2 linked regions of the Bombyx mori genome follow. The protein of the gene in region 1 purifies or fractionates together with the protein of each later gene. This does not show direct contact. Links are inferred from orthologs where the notes say so. Each region holds a gene or a part of one and is shown on either strand. Other genes may lie near its edges.

What was found.
Region 2: the proteins of E3 ubiquitin-protein ligase RFWD3 (region 1) and chaperonin containing t-complex polypeptide 1 beta subunit purify together in Homo sapiens (co-immunoprecipitation; 3 studies listed by BioGRID and IntAct, with this or other methods). This does not show direct contact. The link is inferred for Bombyx mori from reciprocal best matches to the Homo sapiens genes RFWD3 and CCT2.

What each region holds. Positions count from the first base shown.
Region 1 is NC_085117.1:96,956-108,411, reverse strand, and holds E3 ubiquitin-protein ligase RFWD3, read left to right. Parts: upstream 1-4,868; 5' UTR 4,869-5,234; intron 5,235-7,022; 5' UTR 7,023-7,043; coding exon 7,044-8,873; 3' UTR 8,874-9,189; downstream 9,190-11,456. Other genes in the region: BTB/POZ domain-containing protein 7, read right to left, coding at 819-932, 1,974-1,994. UniProt on the Homo sapiens protein: E3 ubiquitin-protein ligase required for the repair of DNA interstrand cross-links (ICL) in response to DNA damage. Plays a key role in RPA-mediated DNA damage signaling and repair.
Region 2 is NC_085119.1:8,625,928-8,637,393, reverse strand, and holds the start of chaperonin containing t-complex polypeptide 1 beta subunit, read left to right. Parts: upstream 1-4,596; 5' UTR 4,597-4,690; coding exon 4,691-4,693; intron 4,694-4,854; coding exon 4,855-5,028; intron 5,029-5,112; coding exon 5,113-5,248; intron 5,249-5,630; coding exon 5,631-5,850; intron 5,851-6,728; coding exon 6,729-6,867; intron 6,868-6,998; coding exon 6,999-7,207; intron 7,208-8,056; coding exon 8,057-8,231; intron 8,232-8,684; coding exon 8,685-8,862; intron 8,863-9,531; coding exon 9,532-9,735; intron 9,736-11,466. Other genes in the region: synaptobrevin-1, read right to left, coding at 3,279-3,641. UniProt on the Homo sapiens protein: Component of the chaperonin-containing T-complex (TRiC), a molecular chaperone complex that assists the folding of actin, tubulin and other proteins upon ATP hydrolysis.

The sequences.
Region 1 (11,456 bases):
AAACTTTTGATGCTTTTAACAAATAAAAAACACCTTAAAGGCTTCGTCAAACAGAACGCGTAATTAGCGCGGTTCAGAGCGCTACGCTATAACGCCGAGATGTGTTGTACTCAGCAGTATAGCTATACCGCTGGCGCTCTGTTTGACGGTATCTTACCATAGTAGTACAACACATCTCGGCGTCATAGCGCGGCGTTAGTTTAGCGCTCTGACGCGCGCTAAGTACGCGTTCTGTTTGACGAAGCCTTTAATTACAAAGATAAATGTCCCATGTTAAGCGAAATGTTGCATAAACCAAATAGCTTTCCACTCTTCTATATGTTTATGGGAGTCAATTAATATCACCAAGTATCGGTATCACCATCCACTTGGGACATCAGGTTGAAGTCTCAACTATCATTGACAGCATCTGTCCCACCTGCAAAATAGGATGCCTATTTGCTTCATGGGCTGCTTACACAGATCGGTAGTGGCTGGCAATGAGGATGGATAACCAGGCCACCGCTACTGATAACCCAAACAGAAACATGTCTGTTGATTTTCATAGTACAATATTATTGAACATGGAAGTCATTGGTCGAATTCAGTTAGATAGTCCAGGCAGGATTACAATAGTAATTTTCGAGTCACTCAGAATGGGCACACTGATCAGTTCATGTTTTTTTTATTGCTTGGTTAGGTGGACGAGCTCACGGCCCACCTGAACTAAGTGGTTATAGACCCACAGACATGTACAATGTTAACGCCGTCACCCACCTTGAGACATGCGTTGTAAGGTCTCGCTTTTAACAGTATATAGTGTGTGGTACCTGCGGTACCTGGTATACCTGCGGGTGCGAGAGCGCGGCGCCCATATTAGCGACGGGCGCGCACAAACAGCACAGCAGCCGGCTCATGGGTCGAGCCCCGCCATCACAGCCGCGTACCTCCTCCTACAAGACCGGCAAACATTGAAACTACCATACCACAACATCAGTGTATAAGTAGTTAATGTCACCCGTGGACAGCAGCAGTGTCTGAGAGTGTTTCTTACTAAGCAGCATTTGACAATGGACATATTGGACTAATATGATAAAAGGCAATCTTCATGGATTTTCACTAGTTGTAGAAATAATCAAAATAACTTTTATAAACCATAAGATTACATATTATTTAAATATCAATTTCATTTTATCCAATGGCTCAAATATTTCACTTTTTATGATCATGGAATATTAAGGAGTGTTATCTCAACCTATGGTTCATATTATGCTAACTAAGCTAAGCATCTTCATTACACAATATGGTATTCAGGAAATAATAGTACAAATTATGTATTAAACATCTCCACAATGTGCCCCACAAGTGTCTTGACGTGAGATTTATTGGCAACAAAAATATACAAAGTGGATCTATTTGCCCAGAGAAGAAGTAGCAGTTCTAAGTGGTCTAGATTTGACTCTTCTATTCATTTGACTTCAAATTAAACTCTTAGTTTCAAATACATATTTACCAACTGCAATGGAAATGCATCAGCATACTTTGCTGTAATGACATCAAGCATCTGAGAAATGGTACCATAAGCAAATATCAATGATCAATGTGGCCATTGTGATATCCTACACTTCCAGTCAAATATATGTATCATGTACATAATTAATCCCAAGACAAACAATTTGTTAGAATGCAAAAGAAGACTCAGCCTCCATCAAAAATAGTCTCTCAGACAAATAGGATTTGCATGGTAAGTGGTAGTTATGGTAAGGCTGTTCGTAACCTCATAGAAAAGATCTTAAGGTCAAACTCTATTGAAGGTCTGCTGTATGTCAAGCAAGACCAAAGAGCAGTATTCATTATTTACCAGTAACTTACTGATTCTATCCACCACTTTATGAATTTTTTAAGTTGGTTTGTATAGGTAAAAATTGGTGTAACAACTGCTTTTCGAAAATCTCAGAAAACTAGCAGTAGGCTAATAAGTCTATGGAAATTACTTCATTGGTTGGTTTTCCCATTTTGTGTACCATTAAAATTATTACTTTCCAAATGTCAGGATAATATTGAAGTCTTAGAATACAAGAACACTGAACCCTCTGCCTAAAGTGCCTAAAGTAACATGGACATCTAAGTATGACTGTTTCAATCAATACTTTAGTTTACTAGTTAGACCCCTACAGTAACAATTTACATAGATAACAATATTTAAATAAACTACCCATAAGTACTATGTAAGAAACCCCACTATGTAAGAAAATATAATAATTATTAGATCTTTAATTACCATATTTTTTATTATTGGATTTTTGTTGAACAATAATATTGTGATCAGCTGACTGTCAAGTGTTTTGATAGAAGCAAATGCGTACAAAAGGATACACTCAGAATTAGATCTGATAGAAGATTGCAAATATGACAAAACAGTGTTCTGTGCCAAGGACAAAAATGTCTAAATTACTTACATTTCTTATAGTTCTTAGAATATTCATTTATAAAAACAAGATTTTATCTATGTAGGGCACTGATAATTGGGCCTTTTTAAGACTTCAAATACAACCAGATCTAACAGTGATTGAGGCCATAAGCCTAATGAATGAGAACACATCATATGTAGTTAAGATATGCTCATAGATGAGAGCAACTTGGAATAAAAAATCAAATAATAAAAAATATGGTACCGTCAGTGAATATCCACAAAAATCTTTTAAGTACTGAAATAGAAATTAAACAATAAAAAAGAGGTTGGATATATGACTCTGATCCAGAACTACTACCAGTGATTATAACTTCAGCCCATGGACTGGATAACTATTTCTCTTGGATTTCCTTGTTGCTGTGACATACTGTATCATAGAACTGAATTTGATTCTGAGGCAAAATCAGTATCATTATTCAAAATAAATGTGTGTCCAGTACAAAGAAGACAAACTTTGATTTTTTTTAGTTTCTTTATCATGATTACTGTTTGTGATTATATTATGCAATTTTATTCTCTTCTCCATTCTTTGTCACTGATTTATTAACTACTCGACATTGGCAGGGGTGTGCTTTGAAGAAGAAACAGAAGCTTTAATAAGAATAGCGGTTTGGGGACAATCAATGTCAGTTTTTTCTTGTCCATTTTCCTAATATGCTATATACTATCTATATATCTTTAGTATTAAGAAACATTTCTGTATGCAATGGACCTTTAAAATACAATCAACATTACTTTTATAGCTTTGTTTATTCTAAAACATATTTGTTTTTTCATACAATGCACACAAATTATTTAACTGTTTTCAGTGACATTTAATGTTTAATGGGTATGATTTAACTTAAAAAGTGATTGTTTTGTGATGGGAATCAAAAGGCAACAATAAAATTAATTCTAAAGTTTTCATTACAGTGAAATTTTATTTTATGTTGTTCCGGATCCTGCACCAGCAAACATATAAGCTCTTGTTCCAAATTCAGTCAAACATATTTTGCTAGAATGAAATGTTGTTTGTATGTTGTTTGTTTGTTTGTAGTTTGTATGAAAATTATTGAATTTAAATGCTGTTTGTGGGCATCAGTTCTTTTGTTTTTCAGTATACGTTTTAATTTATTTTAGGGGTGCGCCAAAAGGTGGATTTCTGACGTCAGTGCGCGCGCATCTGACCTAAACTCTATCTGACCTACATTTGGAACTTGCAACATCGTATTGACATCGTTATGTGGACATTTTTGCATTTATTAGCTAATGCGAAATGAGAGCAATAGAGAAGGACTGTGTAAAAGAGCACAAGTTCAGTACAACACCATATTCAAGCATTTAATTTATTCCATCGCGGATTTCAGTGCTTTAAGCTCACTCACTGCAAAAAAATTGAGTAATATCGATCACTCTAATTTTTGAGTAATTTTAATATAAATAAAATCACTAACCGCTGTACAAGTACATTACAATATTGCATGAATATGTGGAAACACGATTATTTTCTTCATATAAACACTACCGAACATCCCCATTCGGTCGCCATGATATCAACAAATGATCAACTTGTAAATTTAAATTTCACTTCACTAGAGATATTCATCACTGTTATTTATGTTAAATAATGGTAAACTAATAACATTGAGTATATTATTACATAAATAAGTCACGAATACAAGCTCGATTCGTTTTAAATTGTATAAAAATACGGAATGAGCAAGGCCCGTTATCCTCCTCCTTTATCAGATTTGACACTAAATTTAGTACTGCCGGCTTTAAAATTGGAATCTGCGTGCTGGCCTAATTGTTGCCGAAACAAAGTGTATTTTTAAATAAAAACATCGGTAGGTACTACAAGTATATTGAGTAGTTGTCAATAAATTAATAAAATTTATCAACTGTCGCCGCGTCGGTAGCGTTAGGGAATTGAATAATCTTAAAAGGTAGTCCTGTAATATTACTGGGAACCAGTCTTTCAGTACGGTTTAGAGTTATAAGACAACTATTAGATTTAAAATACATTTAATACTGAACTGTTATGATGTCTGATGAGGACTAGTTAACAGTTCTTTTTGAGAAGGCCATGAAGTCAGCTGAACAGGGACTTTTTATTTTCCGAAGTGTGGTATTAGATAATAAAGGTTACAAAGTTTGTTCGTACCTGATTAGTGTATTTCCGAAGTGCGTTGGAAGAGATTCGCTCAGACGCTTTACATTATGCAAATTAGGTACCGTGATTGATACTGGTATTTCGTCTGTCTTTAGAAACCGCATTCCAGAGATAAAGAAACTTACAAGATCTGCAGTCTAATCAGGGCCTAGTACATTACAAATTTTCTTTTCATTAAAGGTGTAGGATCTGGAAGGACTACATAATTATAATGTGAGCCAAGTTTTGTGCATTGGCATTGGGATCCAAATTCCCAACTAATCTGTGGAAATATTTGTCTTTTGGTAACCCAAATAATTACTCTCAAATTGAAAATTTTGATGTTTTTGACGAAAAAGCGGTTTAATTTATAAAAATTGACAAGAAATAATACACAATAAACATTAAAACCAAGTAGTATTAGCACATGAATTAATGTACGTAAATAACGAAATTAATTTGTCTACTAAATGTTACAAAATCTAATCATAACGAAATAAAAGTTAAAACAAATGGCCATCAAATAAATGTAAACAATACCTACGTAAAATTTTACAAACAAAAAATTGTTTCCGCTTAACAAGAAACGTTTTTTCATTGATACATTTTACGGATATTAGTGATTGTTGCAGCTATTGACCTGTGCAAAGGGTGAGTAGGAATTTAATTAAATATGTAAAAGTCCTCAGTACATAACCCGACTAGGTTTTTTTATGTTCTATACTAATTATAATAACGTTTTCTAAGAAATTGATAAATTAGTACTGTCGAGCATCCCCAAACCTCAGACCACATGATTGAGAAGTGGTTCAGTGTTAGAAGATGCGATCGAAGCTCATTGGTATGAAAACTCGCATGCCTCCTCCTATCTTGAGACAAATTTGATAGCTGACAGAAACAGTGGGGTAGTGGGCTGAAATTGGATCGACTACAAACCCAAACCAACTGGCATACCTAAATCTAACCTGAAGGACTCCTTGTGAAACGATGATGTTACATTTCAGTAATAATTTATCTGTCTCAATAGTCTCAATGATAAAATTTGTGTCAAATTGATCACAAAGATCTAAGGTTGACAATGTTAATTTAGTAAAATGAATGGTAAAAATCAAACCATCAGGCTATCTTATGTGTGTGATTTAAGTTTTATAGGTAGGGTATTTTTGCAAATTCAATGTACATCATAATTATTGAATGTTCACAATACAGTATGCTTATGTTAAGAATAAAACGGTGTCTGTTTGACATTGTACATAATATGGTAACAGCCCTAAAACAATCTGCAATCCCAATTGGTGGTAACCTTAGGACTATGCTCAGCAATCATGCGTTACAATTTGTTGAGTTGTTGGATTGACACAGCTGTGACTCTTAGATGTCCAGCTGGACAACAGTGTGCTATGAGCAGCTATGAAAGCTAGCTAAGACATAATATCATGCAATTGTTGAGGACTCTGTAATGTCATCTGGCTGTGACTATTGTGCTAGAGATACTCAAGTGTGACCACCATTCTTCAAATAAGTATTTATCTTTAGTGAGAAATTTGTGGGTAAAGAGCTCCAAAGATGCAGGTGTGTGGATGAGCTCGCAGCCCACCTAATGTTAAATGGTTATCAGAGCCTGCAATTTTATTATACATAATTATAAGATGGAACAACAGCTGGTATGAGGCCAACTTTCATTTCATTGCAAACAACCGCTAAACAGTTGTGTACCCAGGTCTGATACATGAGGCTGTTGATAACTAAGACTTTAAGCTGATGTCTCAAGGTGAGGGGTGGCATGCATGTTATGATGTATGGGTTTCATGGTGAGGTTTCATGGTGAGGTGGCGGTGTATCGCGTTCCGACCTGGCAGGCTGGTTCTGGCTCAGCGGGGTATCCCGGAACACCAGCGTCATCGCCCGGGCGGCTCGGTAGGGCCGCCGTACCGCGGAGACCGAAGTCGTTGGTCGTCGACTATCGCCTCGACGACCCGTCGGTCGAGCGTCCTCAGGGTGGCGCCGCGTGTCTGGTTGTAGTGTTGACTGCAGGAACCCCTCTACTCTGACCGGGTATTGACCCCGAACGGAGATCGGACGTCGGGTGTAAGAGTGCAGGGGAGTCGTTTAGTGGGTGTGCCCTAAAATTCCTTGGGCCCGCTGTCTGCTTCCAACACCTTGCAGATCGTTGAGTCCCACATAGCCCGCGCGCCCCATAGGCGCGGGGACCTCGTAAGAGGTTCGGGCCTCGGCCCGAAAAAAAAAAAGTCTGAGGTAAAGGATTTGTTAAATTAAATTAATTGGAAATTCAAATTTTAGATAATTATTATTTTGCGTTGTTTGTTGAGCCATCAGCAATTCTACCACTCGTCTTCGTTTCCAGGAACATTACCAACACACCTTCTATGTAATCAAGAAAAGGATGACTTAGACCAAAAACATTTTCTCTGTTCCCAGGTAACCCAATGACTACGAAAAATGAGCCAGTATCCCACCGCACAGAGCCAGGGCACAGAGTCACCGGGGAGTCCAAATATATTCGAAGAACCGGAGCAAAGCTTCGCAGCAGCAGAGAATGACAACCACATAGATCTGCCGTCGACTAGTCGAAGCCATGATCACGATCCCTCCGAGGGTCCGTTAGATGTGCCCAGCGATGAGCCCATACAAATAGACTTGGCCGGTCCCTTGAGGTACGACAACGATGACAGCAACGACACGGTGCTGAACATCATCATTAACGGACCAGGACACCTCCCGGCTCAGAGCGAGGACAGCAACCTCACTTCACCTCTCACCTCATTCAGCGATGAGAGCACGAGACAATCTATAAATGAAGATTCGAATAGTTGCGCTTCGATCAGATTGAACCCCAGGCCCCCTGATGACATCGAACCCCCAGCCAAACTCAGGAAGATGAACGAAGTCGAAGAGGTCGACGGCGAAACCTGCCCGATTTGCTTGGACTCGTGGGGTAACTCCGGTGACCACAGGCTAGTAGCACTGCGCTGCGGTCACCTTTTCGGTTCAGAGTGTGTGGAGCGCTGGCTGAAGGCTCAGAAACTAAAAGACAGAACGTGCCCGACCTGCAAGGGGAAGGCCAACTTGAAGGACCTGAGGTTCATATACGCGAGGCGCTTGGTAGCGGCGGACACTTCGCAAATTACGGCTCTACAAAAACAAGTTGAGATTCTTCAATCAGAGAAGAGCAGAACCGAACTGGAATTAGAAAAGATGAAGATAGCACATCGCGCTTGCGTGCAACAGCTCGAGGGCCTACGGAGCACCCTAATGAAGTCTCAATCTAACAAGGAGCAGCCTTCCAGGAAGTCCTGGAGGTTCGCCTTGGAGAAGAACCTTGAAATATGCAAGGACGGAGGCTGCAGAGTCCTGACCTACAACTGCCGGACCTACGAGTTGTATGTGTCCCAGAAGAGCGTCAACTATCTCTTCCCTGGATTCGGGATAAGGAAGATCAGCTGTGTCGACTACAAGCTGGGGCAGTTCGTCCATCTGCACCCGAAGCCGATCCGCGACATCACGTACTCCCAGCACCGGGACCTGCTGCTGAGCGTGGCCCTGGACAGCACGGCGCGGATAGTCGAGCGCGGCATCCTCAGCGTGACGGTGAACTCGGGCATGCCGCTCTGGTCCTGCTCTTGGGACAACTTGCGCAGCAACGAGTTCTACGTAGGCGGCGTCGGAGGCGTGATCCACCACTATGACGTCAGAAACCCTAGCACCTACTTACGGATGCTGAGCTCTCCGGGGGACCTGTCACCAGTTGTGTCTTTGTGTTCCACAGAATATGGTCTCTTGTCGTGCCAGTTGAACTCATCGAAGCTGTGGGCGGTGAACACAAGGCAGTGTGAGCCGAGGGTCTTGCCCGTGGAAGGATCGTTCATGTCTCTGGCCTATGATAACGCGTCCCAACGCGCCGTCATAGCGTCCAGACCGAGTTCGAATGGTCTAGAAAGATCTAAGTTGAGCGTCTGTAAATTGAAACCGAGCATACCGAACGGCGAAGTTATTTGTGACGTGGTAGAAACATTCTCGGGGTCGCTCAGGTCCTCGTTGATGTCCAAAGTGGCCTGGGTGAGGTTAGCGAGCTCTGCGTGGGTCGCCGCTCATTCTGAAAGCGATTCAGCGCTTTATTTGCACGGCGTCGACGGCACGCGGACCATGTCCCTGCCCGCGTCGGAGCCCGCGCTGGACGTGTGCTCGGTCGAGACGAACGGAAGCAATATACTGGCGGCTCTGTCAGAGTCCCGACTCAGGCTGTACAAGGCGGTCCCCACCAATACGTGACACGATTACACCATTCCATATTAATGTAACTTTTATATTGCTTGACGACGTTGTAGCGTTCAAATTGTCTTGACAGCTGTCATTTTTGACAAGAGTCATGAAAAATTAAATTGAGTGCTTGTTGTCTCTTTTGCTCCCGAAGCTGTGACTTCAGCATGCAGCGTCTATGGTCACTTGCTTATAACAACGCGCTAAGTACTTTGATTTGTATAAATATAATAATTCTTAAATGATATTTTAGACTTTGTAATATAATTTATATTTAAAATGTTTTGTAAATATTAATTGTGTTGAGAAAGTAAAATTTAAACCTTGATACTGTGTTATGTTTCTCTTTGTACACCCATATTATAGAGCTGAAGTTCTTACCCACAGAGCCTCAAGTTTGAACGTGGTGCATGGTGCATGAGGCAGGTGGTTTCAGAAAACTGAGTTATGGTATGTTTACCAAAATCAAAGACGCGATTGTTTAAAATGTCAAGAAAACTAATTAGATGAAAGAATTATATTAATATTAAGTGTATTAACCACGATATTAATTATAGAATTTTGCTATATTAATGGTATTCAATTTGAATACTCTTAACAAGGTAAATAGCTAGTTAATTTTTGTCTTTGACAATAAATAATGCTTTATATATTCAAATAGTAAATATGGAACATTCTTTCTTAAGATTAGGCTTTAAAAGAAAGGATCTTCGCACCAGGTCGATCGGCAGTTCATGTACTGGTATCCAGTAAAATAGATAGGCATTTTGTGAAAAATTCACCAGTCAATCTCCTTCGGATCCTTCCGACCTGCAGATCAGACCCGATACAGGCTTCGCCCAATTTAGATTTTTACTTAGGATAGCATACTGCATTAACTGTGGGAACCAGACTTTTTTTTGCTAAATATCTTCTTGGCTTGGCCTTTGTAGTCATAAGCCTTTTCTGGACTTTGATTTCACTGTCAAAATCAATATTGTCAACTGTCGATTGAAACTTGTCAAAACTCAAAACTGAAAATAAACAGTAGGTCCACTTTTGTTTCTAAGTTTCCAATACGAAAGTCTGTTTTTTTGAAAAGAAATTCTTAAATTTACCACATTAAAGACGTTAATTAAGTAACATTTTTATAAAACTCATTATTTGAACCAGTACAAATCATCGTAAAAACGTAAGTAACAGTATTATTTGTGAGAAATGTACCGTGTGCGCGAATGAGGTCACCACCATTGATTAGGTTTTAAAAAAAGTAAAATGATTTTTTTTATTTTCGGTTTTCATTCAAAAATTCCTTTCTTTTGCGTCATACCAGAGTTTCATTCTATATACCTTTTTTCTCAGCGGTTCTAAGCCCCTGATGCGGCCGGTCTACGTCCGTGCCGGGCCCACGGCCCACGCGTGGTCACGTCTCTTTTAGATAATTAAACCAGTTTGCTCACCATAGCAGCTTAATATTAAATTCTGTAGTGCGCATTTACTCTCGTATCTAAATTATAATTTCTAAAGATTAATAAGCAACGGTAACCGCTTACATCCCATCTCTCTGGTGCTAATTACTAAAACTATTGGTCTATATTTACTCCAACTGATTGTCTGAAGGGAAGCACCATCCACAATATGGTTAGGTAAGCAACTTGGCCATGTTAACTGCTTACTCTCTCTAGTAAGAGTGCTAGAAAATAATTGTAAAACAATCTCTACAATAATGTAGATACCTGACTGTAATTGTGTGGCACTTAAACATAAATTTGACAATATAAGAAGGTTTAGAGTTTATAATATTGAAATGTTTAAAATAACGTAAACAACGATATCCACATGGTCTTAAAATTAATTTTAATTTTATCAATACCTCGCTAAAACCTAACAAAATACAATGATTAGTTGTAAAACTGAGAGTAAAGGGAATGAGTGCTCATAAATAGCAGCACTACGCCAAAAAATTATTAAAATATCAATTCAAAATCGTTTTTTTTTTGGTAATGTTTTCTTTGCACACAACAAATGAAGAATGAAAGTATTTCAGATATGTTGTACGTTATTGTGGATGTTTGAAAAATTTTGGGGTAGTTTTTGCACTGGTAAAATTGACAGTGATTGTATTAATGTAGTTATTGAAAAATTAAGAAAATATTTAATAGGTCAGACTGTATATATTCTATAATAGTTTTATTACAAACTCTAAGTGACAGTCATTTATTTGTAGAAATAGAAACGCCATTTATGTTACGGAGCGTAACAAACAATTTTGGAATTGGGTGTAGTACACTTGGGTGTAGTAAGAGCAGACAAAAAATAAAACAATCAGTTCCTTTAAATTGAACACTCAGGAAAAATCATTCACGTCCTAGAGCCATAGGGTAGAGTGTGGCAACATTGAAGATGAAATTTAAAGAGCAAAGCGAAACAAAGTGTAACATTCTATGCCTTAAAGACTTTTTCACTACTACTAGGTATATAATTGATACTAGCGAGTACTGAATGATATTTTATGATATCGATTCTTAGAACTGTCAATACATGTGTCTTTGATTAAAACCGTTTCGTTATTATTGAACTTTAGCTCGTTTAAATATTTATCATTTTTGTTCTTTC
Region 2 (11,466 bases), on another chromosome or scaffold:
GTAAGACTGCTAAGTGCAACCTTCTTCTAGCTGCCATTTTCAATATATTGTGATCATTTAAATAGGGCGTTATGTGTCCTCTCACAGGAATGTCAAAGCAATACCTGGCACAGGCATTTTGAATGCGTTGTATTAATTTTTCAGTTCTCGAGAGTAAACAGGGACCATAAACAGTATCACAGTAATTTAATTTCGACAAAACTAGACTATCGATAAGCAACTTCCTAATGGGTACACTGACGTACTGTCTAAACGAGTACAGAATCTTCAGTCTGTAAAAACAAGTTCTTAAATTCTTTGTAATATGGGCCTCGAATCGCAATTCGGGATCAAATGTCAAACCCAAACTGCATGCTAACTCCACCCGATCAATTTCCTTACCCGAAACAGTCACCTTAGGATCGAGTCATCCTACCATGCTACCCCGCTTAAAACATACAAAAATAATAATTAAAAACTATTTTATAGGATCTCAAGAAAGTCGATGCCCCAAAACTATTATCTATATATATTTAAATTCATTATGGAGCCCTCATCCGAAAAATCGGACCCCGTTTTTCGGTCGGAATCTATTGATCTTGACACTAATCATAAATACCTCTTTAAAATATGTCATCAAAACATATTTATACATTCTGTTTAGATATTTCGGGAAAAAGGCTACCGACAAAATCTCTTCGGAACTATTTAAATAAAATAGTTTTATTCCGCAGTGAGCAAAACACTATTGTAAATTCGTTAAATATTTAGTAATTAAGTGATTTTAAAGAGGAAGTCACAAGGAATGACGTTTGTAATTAATGAATAAATGTTCTGTAGGTGTTTTTTTTTTATCACGTGGTCCCTTGATAAGCTTAAAATTTTAATCACTCTCAAGTGAGAGTGATTCAAATGGTGCGGCGCACCTTCCTTGAGGTGCGCTGCGGTAGTGTGTTACGGACTTTAGTTCAGCAACAGAATTAAAATAGATTGTAATAGTCTAAGAAAAACACGTACTCAAAATACCATAACATTTAGCATGCTAGAAATGGACAGATGGCACTGCACTACGCCATATCTTTATGTTTTGCGGCAAACGACAACTATATAAAATCAGTGTAACAAATTTTAAAAATCATCATATCGTTTACTTGGCAAATTTGAAGTCGTCTTAGATTTCACATATTATCTAAATCACCTCATCTTTGCACATAACAATATACTTACTTCCTATTAAAGTATAAATTCTACAAATAATTCATACTCAACAATATTTAAAATAAAATGAGCAAAGAACGTTTATCGATAAAAGCTACTAACATTAAAATCTTCTGGGCAGCACTAAAACCGCCATGTTTTGTGGCCAGATGACGTCACAGTGGCACGAATTTTTTGTTGACGTTTCATTTCCATAGGTTTCATACTTCAGTGTCAGTGAGTTCGAATAATCCCCTAGGCTACCAACAAATAGGTAGGGGGAAACAAGATCAAGATTTTTTTAGACTTCAATGTGTCATTCTCTTATCTCGATTCTCAAGGCACATGATCTCGTGTTGCATGTGATCATTGTTTGCCTAAATATATTATATTATTTTGTATGAATTTTCTAACATACTGCTTACTTGTAGATCAATTAATCATAACATTTATATGGACATCCATGCAGGACTAAAAATATGAGTGTGTTAAAAGTAGCACTATACAGAATTTCAAACTATGTGACTAGTTTATTTCTGGTAGTTACCATCCATTATTCTGTTAAACAATGAAAATTAACTCTCATTATTTTAATACCATACATTACATATCTTGATTGAAATGTATGAATAAAATATATCTAGATGTTTCTTTAATCAATATTGAATTAAGAAGTGCAATGAACTAGTTGTTTCAATCTGACAGCAATGTGTGCCAAATGTGATTGTTCTGTAAAACAGAAATAATAAAGCAATTGAAGAATACACATTTTATTACATCTATACAATACAAAATAACTAGGATAAGTGTTACACATATATTGATTTAGTATAATACAACATTAACATTTTTCACTGTCATACAATGATAATGGACTTCACTATAATTAACAAACTGATTCATCAGTTGCTTTGAGAAGCTTCCAGACTTTTATTAACATTAAAATTCAAATATGGCTTAGAGACGATTGATAATATATCATTAACCCCGTTAATTGGTCCCAACAAGAGTTACTGTTAGTAGATTACATGGTTATACCAAAGTTTGTGATTGGATAATGTGCAACATAATGAATGTGCAATTTCTTAAAAAGTAGCATAGCAATAATTCAATAAATGTTAAAAGTATACATCTTTATCTTTATCCTTCGAGCACCTGTGTTCTGTGTTATTTAAACCTCTCAGAATTTATTGTGCAACATTGTTCTATGTTAATATTTTTTTGTAAATTTTTATTATAGACAAATGGGACAATTTGCCTATATATTTTATTCCTGAACTTACAAAATGGGACAAAACCTTCTCAACATCAAATATTGATATCATTTATTTTTTGAACAACCACTTTACAGTTATTATAGTTCGTAAGTTTTATTTACCTCCATATTTCTAGGTGAAAATTTTGTATCTCAGTTAATTTGTAAAGAATTTACCATCACAAATTCACAACTTATTGGAACTGACAAGTCTACTAGTGAATTGTTCAGTGTGAAAAGTGCTTTTTATTTTGCTTTGGAGAGAAATATTTAATCGCTTCCGTGCCATATGAATCATGGTAGACACAGTCATATTTATTGCACTGAATATATATAACAAATGTAATTCTGTAAAATGTGATTCTTACATGAACATGTTTACTTAGTATGTTTTGTAAAAATATATCAATCTTTAGTCCAAATATCAAATGGAGTGAATGACAAGTCAGGCAAGGATACTTGGCACGGAATGTGTTAAAGTGAGTTTAAATAATCAATCTGTGTGATACATACACTCTACTCATAATTTATTACTACCTATCACAAGATATTTATAAAAATATTGTTGGCCACTGTTAAATATGAAAGCTAGCTATGAAGAGAAATCACAATTTTTCATAATAATAATCTTAATGTATTAACTTTTATAAAATTGTATAGTATTTTGTTTGGGACTTTTGTAAACAGTATAAATTTTTCAATATTTTTAAGGCTAAATGTAAAACTCATGTAGAAATATAGTGTGCGTCTATTACAAGTTTCCTTTGTCCAGTCGCGCTTGGTCGTTTCTGAACCCCAATCCCAGTCACAATAAATACTTTTTGGAATATATGTTTAAATTGGCTAACTATCGGCCAACATCTTTAGGCGCTTCAGTTACTGGAGGCGCGGCAGGGGATGACGAACCGGACGTTGCCCACACAATAATGATAATAAGCAACACTGCACCAATAGCACCTATAATTAACATCATCTTCAAATTCTGCCACCAATACTTGCGCTTAAGTTTTCCAGCTTGCTGTTCAAACTGTGCAGCCCCATGTTGCAGCGCATCTGCGCGATTATCTAGTTCCGACAATTTTTGGTCTCTTTCCAAAACTTTCTCGACATTGACACGCATAATGCCAACAACTTCATCTACTTTGGCTTGTGTTTGTGCCAAGCGTTTGTCGCTTACTCTTGGTGCGGAACTTCCTCCTTGTTCTTCCATTTTTACTGTATATTATGAACTGTTTTTATTAAATTTCAATGTGAATGTAACTAGATTAATGCAGAATATTATTATTCGGTCACTGGTGACGGGCGTAGAATGTAAATATGGCGTCACCACAGACTAAATAGAAATATTAGGATTAGGGATGGCGGATGGCGCTCTAAGATTGATTGCTTAACCAAAATGAAACGATTTTTAATCGATAAATAGATTTCAAATAGTAAAATTTCGAGATTTTTGTATTTCATTTATAACGTTTCAAAGCTGGTAACTTGATGAAATTTAACGATTTGATGCAGTGGTATTCAACTTTATTTTAAGGCAGTGTATAAGGTATATACGGATGAACTTTAGTACGATTTTGTAACAAAAACCACAGCCATTTATTCAATTTTATTCGCCATCGTTGAAATATGTTTATAACCATCGCTCATGATCATCATCAACAGCACAACCAGGTCAAATAGTATTCAAAAAATGTAATGGAGGAGAGTTTATTCCAAAACTAAATTGTATGTAGCAAGAAATCTTTTTGAAAACGCAGTGGTTTTAGGTTCGGCTATGGCGACAGAAATGTGACGATAAAAAAAAAGAGATCATAAACAACGTTCAGCGATTTTATTGACTTCAATTCTCCCTGTCAAAGCTGCCCTAATTAATAAATTACTATGAACACACGTTTTAATCTGAGGAGACAATTCACTAATAAAATAAATGAATTCGCATAACTTCGGTCAATCAATTTGCATTTCCACCAAAGATTCATTCTTCGATTTCATTTGTAAAATCACTTCCATTTCAATATTCATACGAGGCTTTGATTTTTGTAATACAAGATTTCATTACATGAGTTTCGTTCCCTTTGCTTTTCCAATAGACAAGTTTAGCAAAAAACAGAGAGCAAATACATAGAGCATAGATAATACATGACATAGAGTATACATTATTAGTGATCAAAGTGGTCGTTCGGTCGTTCCCTTTTCTCTTTGTGCATTGTAGCCGATAAAAGCGTAAAGAAAAATAATTAATTAGGTCCTTCATCCAAAATGGTTAGTAAAATCTTTAATTTAATCTAACGTATCTTCATTGTTACTGATACTTATAAGTAAAAACGACGTATTCAGTGAAAACTAAGTGAAAATAGAACCCGATGCCGTATAACCTCACGCACGTGTACATGTAATTCTAAATTAAAATTAATTTAATACAGGTATCATTAAATCCAATTCGTATCCTTAAAAATGAAGCAGAAGAGGAGAAAGCTGAAGTTGCCCGGATGTCCAGTTTCATCGGTGCTATTGCCATAGGAGATTTGGTAAAGAGTACTTTAGGTCCCAAAGGAATGGATAAGATCTTAGTTTCCTGCGGGAGGAACTCTGGTCAGGTAAAATTAACTGTCTTTTTATTAAACATTAATAATGTATGCTGTGTTTTGAAATGTTTTATGCATAAAGAATTTTCGCTTCAGGTCGAAGTAACAAATGATGGTGCTACGATATTGAAATCTATCGGTGTGGATAATCCTGCTGCTAAAATCCTAGTAGATATGTCTAAGGTACAAGATGAAGAAGTCGGAGATGGCACCACATCTGTTACAGTTTTGGGTTAGTTTAAACTTTAGTGACAATAATGTTGTCTTTAATTTAATTTTTTTTTATTGCCCTTGTAAGCAGACGAGCATACGGCCCACCTGATGGTAAGTGGTTACCGTCGCCCATGGACTTCAGCAATGCCAGGGGCAGAGCTAAGCCACTGCCCACTGTTGAGTACTCTCCACAAGCCTCGTTTGAAAAAGAACAAGCAAGCAAGGCGCTAGGGAAACACCTCGGCCAACACATTGACTCTGTACATTGTTATAAATTTAAAAAAACTTACCAAATAGTTGAAATATGTTTGTAAATATACTATTTTTAACATATAATCAGATTTTTTTTTGTAATTCATGTAAACGCATCTCATAATGATAAAAGTTCTATTTAAATTCAGCTGCTGAATTACTTCGAGAGGCTGAAAAATTAATTGAACAAAAACTGCACCCTCAAACAATCATTGCTGGTTGGAGAATTGCTTCTGATGCAGCCAAACAAGCTCTTGCAGAAGCTAGCTTTGATCATCAGAAGAACTTAAATGAGGCTTCATTAAGAGTGGATTTAGAAAACATCGCACGGACCACACTGAGCTCAAAGATCCTTTCAAATCACAAAGAGTGAGTAGTGAAAACCAGTATACTGTGAAATTACATTGTTTTCAATACCAATTGAAAAATATCTTTATTTATTAGCTATATCTGTGACATACTAGTATATTAATTCCAATATTATTAGATATACATATATTTTAATTCATTAGGTCTTTTATTTTCCAAGACTTATTGCTGTATTGCTAATGTTACTATGTGTATTTTTTTTTTGTAGGGCAACTCAATTTTATCTACCAGTGTTTGCAATCAGGGTCTTCATTAGAATGTCTAAGTTCTGATTTTTTTAGAGTTGTGATCACCAAAGATTTAGAGGACAACTTTATATCAATGAGTTGAGCGTAAAAAGAGTATAAGTCATGAGAATCTGCTTTAAAAATAATGTAAATTTACCAGTAATGGCTGAATAATTATAACTTTTGGCTAAGAATCATAATTTCTTTTGTCATTTAGCTGTAGCTTAATAGCAGATATAAAAAAAACTGTAGTTTGTCTATGTGTCAGCTTATCTAGAAAATATTGGCATCAGATTATCTAAGCCCAAAAAGCAGAGGTTAATTAAAGTCATTTCTCATATTTTTTAACACAGAAACTGTACAAATGGGGTGAAATGTTTTATGAGATTTTTATTTATTTATTACACTTCATGTTAAATTTACATTGGCGGAATTAATGCCTAAGGCATTCTCTACCAGTCAACCAAAGGTAGTGCCGAGATTTATATTTTTTATCCAAATTACTAAAGCTTGAGGTATTTTTTTAATTAGCCTCAATAGTGCACTTAGTCTCAAGTGCTATCAGAGCCAATAGGCATTACGATATACATACAACATAGTTGCATAAATATTCAGGCCAAAGACAGTATAAACTGTATAATATTCTTTCAGGCATTTCACAAAATTAGCAGTTGATGCAGTTTTGCGTTTGAAAGGATCTGGTAATTTAAAAGCTATCCAAATTATCAAAATATCTGGAGGTCTTCTTGAAGAGTCATTCTTGGATGAAGGGTTCTTGCTAAACAAAAAAGTAAGTTTTAAAAAAACCTTTGAATGATTGAGTTTTAGTGCTCTTTAGTTTTTCTATTTGATCATTACATTAATAAAGAAAAACAGTACCTATAGATACAAAAATTTTAATGGGCATATTATTTCTTATAGGTTGGTGTACATCAACCAAAGAAAGTAGAAAATGCTAACATCCTTATTGCAAACACACCAATGGACACTGACAAGATTAAAGTGTTTGGTTCCACAATTAAAGTGGATTCAATGGCCAAGATTGCTGAATTGGAAGTAGCTGAGAAAGAGAAAATGAAGGACAAAGTGAACAAGATTTTAGCACACAAATGTAATGTCTTCATTAACAGGTGAGATTGTTTTGCTATAAAGATTTGTATAATTGCTCTATTTTTGGATACTCAGAAAATATTATTATAGATTACTTATTATTATACATTACTTATTCTTATACAAAACTGATTGCTGTTGCAAATATTGGTTCTTAATTATTATTTTTCAGTCAGTGAGTCATAAGTTGTTTTTATTTTGTATTTGCTTAGTTGGTCAAGTTAGCTCCGATCTGATGTTAACCAATTACAAGAGCTTATAGATTTCAAAATGTAAACAGAGGTGCCCAGATTGATATCTTACATCACTGTTTTTATTTTAAATTAGGCTGACCGAACCTAATTTAAGTAATTTATTATTTTTACTCAAGAGTAGAACATAGCATTAAACTTTTTTTTACAAACCTGATTATCTTTCTATTTATGTAGTGTATTAGTGAGGGTAATTGTTCTCCTTTTAATAAAGTAATTGCTAAGTGGGGGTTACATAAAGACACACAATGAATTGATTTGTTACCCAACACATGTGCTAATTCATTATTAAATAACAAATCATAATAATTTATTTCTTTCAAAAAAGATCTCGTGACCCAGAGTATATATTCCAACGTATTTAAATGTTTATTGACTAAACTATAACATGACTTTGCTTGTTTCTTCAATAGGTGAAGTCAAACTAACGACCCCAGCGCTTCGTTGATACATAATGTTAATGCAGATATGATTAAAACAATATTTAAGTAAAATAAAACAAATTAACTGCATAGCATCTGAAATAAGCATAAATATGCTTATATTAAATTAATCTCTTGAAATTTTTGTGTTTGGAAGCCTAAGAGGGTATCTTATTATGGTAATTTTAATTTTCAGACAACTTATATACAACTACCCAGAGCAGTTGTTTGCTGATGCTGGAGTAATGGCAATTGAGCATGCTGATTTCGAAGGTATCGAAAGGCTTGGCTTGGTCACTGGAGGGGAAATTGTGTCAACATTTGACTCACCAGACAAAGTGAAACTTGGTCACTGCAAATTGATCGAAGAGGTAAAATGACATATTTTAAATCATAAGAAAACCTCTTCTCAATAAGAGATTTGCTGTCAATGCAGAAAATTTGTCTTTTGATCTGTTGCTATACCGATGTTCCTCAAGCATGGTTTTTTAACTTTTTTATCAATCTTCTGGTGCATAACTTGCTTATCAATATCAATTGAAGCACATACTCAAAGTAGACATTTTAAATATCTACTAAAAAGTGCATTTGTGGTTTCACTGTTCTGTTTGAGTTTTTTTACAACCTATTCAAGTACATATCCCAATCTTTTAAGGATAAAGTTTTTTTGTTTGGTTCAATTGAGTTTTTGCTGTAGTAACTACTTAATTGGCAATGTTTGTGGTGTGATGTTGTTTTCTGTCACCCAAATATATCAAAAATAAATCATAATATTAGGTAGCTATTTATAAAGTAACATATTTATAATCGGTGACCACTCACAGGTTCTGATTGGTGATGAGAGCTTGATCCGCTTCTCTGGTGTAGCGTTGGGCTCGGCTTGCACGATCGTAATCCGTGGTGCCACGCAACAAGTTATCGACGAAGCTGAGCGTTCACTCCATGATGCGCTTTGCGTGCTTGCTGCTACTGTAAAAGAACCGAAGGTCATATGTGGAGGAGGTATGAATTACTTAATAAAAGACTAAAATAAAACTATGTTTAATATATTTTACTTTTGCATTTTACATGACATTTACACAAAATATATCGCACTTTTAGAATTATACAGACCCATTTTGAAATTTTTTATTTCGACTTTAATTAAAAAATTGACCTAGAACGACCCATCATCAGCTGCTCTTTTTAATCAAATGACCGAAAGTAGCTTATAAAGGGACAAACTTATCCATAGGTCTCTTTCACATCATCCTCCTCTTATGTCTATTCCGTTTGAAAACTTTATTCAACGTTTTACAAAAAACACATTTTTTGGGTTAGGTCTCTATAATTCTAAAGGTGCGATGTGTGATTAATTAAAACACAATAATGTGTACCTAGTGTGATGGTGGGATATGGTGAGGCGCATCAAATTTGCATCCTCCATTGCTATATGTCAAGAGTGTAACGACTAAGAAGACAGTATATAACTGTAATATTTGTTATAGCAAAATGATGCGTTAATCTCTTTTAGTTGGGATAAAGGGTGTCATAAATTTACAAATATATTTTTTTACAAAGACTCGCAGATGGACTGTCGCAGTCACTGATCAACTTCGACTGTCTGGACTGAACACCCTATTATCTATACTGGAAATAAAATCCATATGTCAAAGCATTTTTTGCATGTAGGGGCTGGTGAAATGCTAATGGCAGAAGCAGCTTCCCGCGCCGGCGCTCGCACAGCCGGGAAGGAAGCCGCAGCAGCCGAAGCCTTTGCAGTCGCGCTCCGGAGACTGCCGTCCGCTGTCGCCGACAATGCTGGCTACGACAGTGCTGATCTCATTGCTCGACTCAGAGCTCATCATTCTCGAGGAGAAAACACTATGGGATTAGGTACTCTAATTTCATATTGTACTAGCTGTACCCGTCCGCTTCACTGAGCACTTAAAATTATTATTATTATTATATATTTTTTAATGGCAATCTGCCGATACTTTCAGCAATTTCTGCCAGTGTCGTGTTATGGCTACACATGGAACATTGTCGAGCTATTTAAACACACTTTTTATTATGAAAAGTATCCAATTTTGGCAATAATAATGGTGCCTGGGACTAACACAAAATTAATGTTACTATAAACTTACATATTATAATAAAGATTATGTACAGAGAGTAATGCACTACATATCATTATAATTTTATAGAGTTAGTAGTTAAAAACTTAATAAAAGCACTTATAATACGGGGATCTGGGAACAGTGAGAGGTTGTGGCGGACATTTACCGGCCGTTGAATTTTCAGTTCGCTAATAACTTGGTCTCATATGAATGAGTTGTTCAAGCGACAATTGAGGAAAATGTGATCTATACTGCTGTCGTCCAAACCACATTCACACAACGAATTGTCACGTATTCTAATTTTATATAGAAATACCATTTAAAATTAACAGTATTATTTCTCACCCCCACAAAGATTCTCATCATTAACGCCCCCGCAACTGGTGTAGGGAGTCCAACACTCATATAAATATTAGCCTATCCATTAAGTACATGTATTTTCTACATGGATACCAAGTTTCAAGTCAATCGGATCCATGGTTCAGTAGTTATAACAGAACATCAGTAAAAACCACTACTATTAGTATAGATATTGATTCTAAAGCGATTATTAAAAAAAAAACAATAATTTTTATTCTTCAAAGGTTTTAAAGGTAATTCTACATATAGTATTGATGATCTAATTGTATTATCATACATTTTCATGTGCAGCAGGCTTTTGTGGGTCACAGCTATAGTTAAAACATCAATTATAACAAAAATACATATATTTTTAATATGGTCATCACAAGGAAAAGCTTACAAAACCAAGAGTTGTTCATTTCATTCCATATTATGTTATATCACATTCTGTGTTATATGGAATATTCTATATAACACCACCACTTCATCCTCTAATTGTAGTTCTAACACTCATCACTAACAATCACATGAGAATGGTATGTATGTGGTGCTTTATTCAGTTCTTAGTTAATGAGGAGATTTGTTGCGTTATACTTGTCGTGCAGAGCAGATAATCTACTTGAGACTAATGCCATAGTTTTAAGCATATGGCTATGTCAATACAGGGCAGGGTCAAGTGGAGACAACTTCTGAGGACCCTATGTACCAGCAGGGTACCCTAGAAATACAACAACAACAAGATGTCAGGGAGGGAATCTTTTTAGTTTAATTCAGATTCAGTTCAGAATATTCTTTAGATTTAGATTTTGAAGTCACTTGCAGATCCCCACAAGTGGCGTCCATTAGTCCAGGCGCTTGTATGTAGTGCATAGTTAAATTATAGTTATTGTGACTAAAATGGGGTGGTAAAAAATACATAGAATGCGCGATTTGGATTAAACATTATATAGAAATATACCACAGATAGAAAAGTATCAGATAAAAATGATATAAAAATATAATATTGTGTGATTTTTTTCCTTTAAAAATTACAATATATGTATGTATGTTTGGTCCAGTTTATCTGGATCAGGGTTTTAATTTTCCATTAAAATTAATTATCAAACTGAAAAACATCCCCCGCATTTAAAAATTGTAAGCACAATTTGAATTGTTTTTTTTTGTT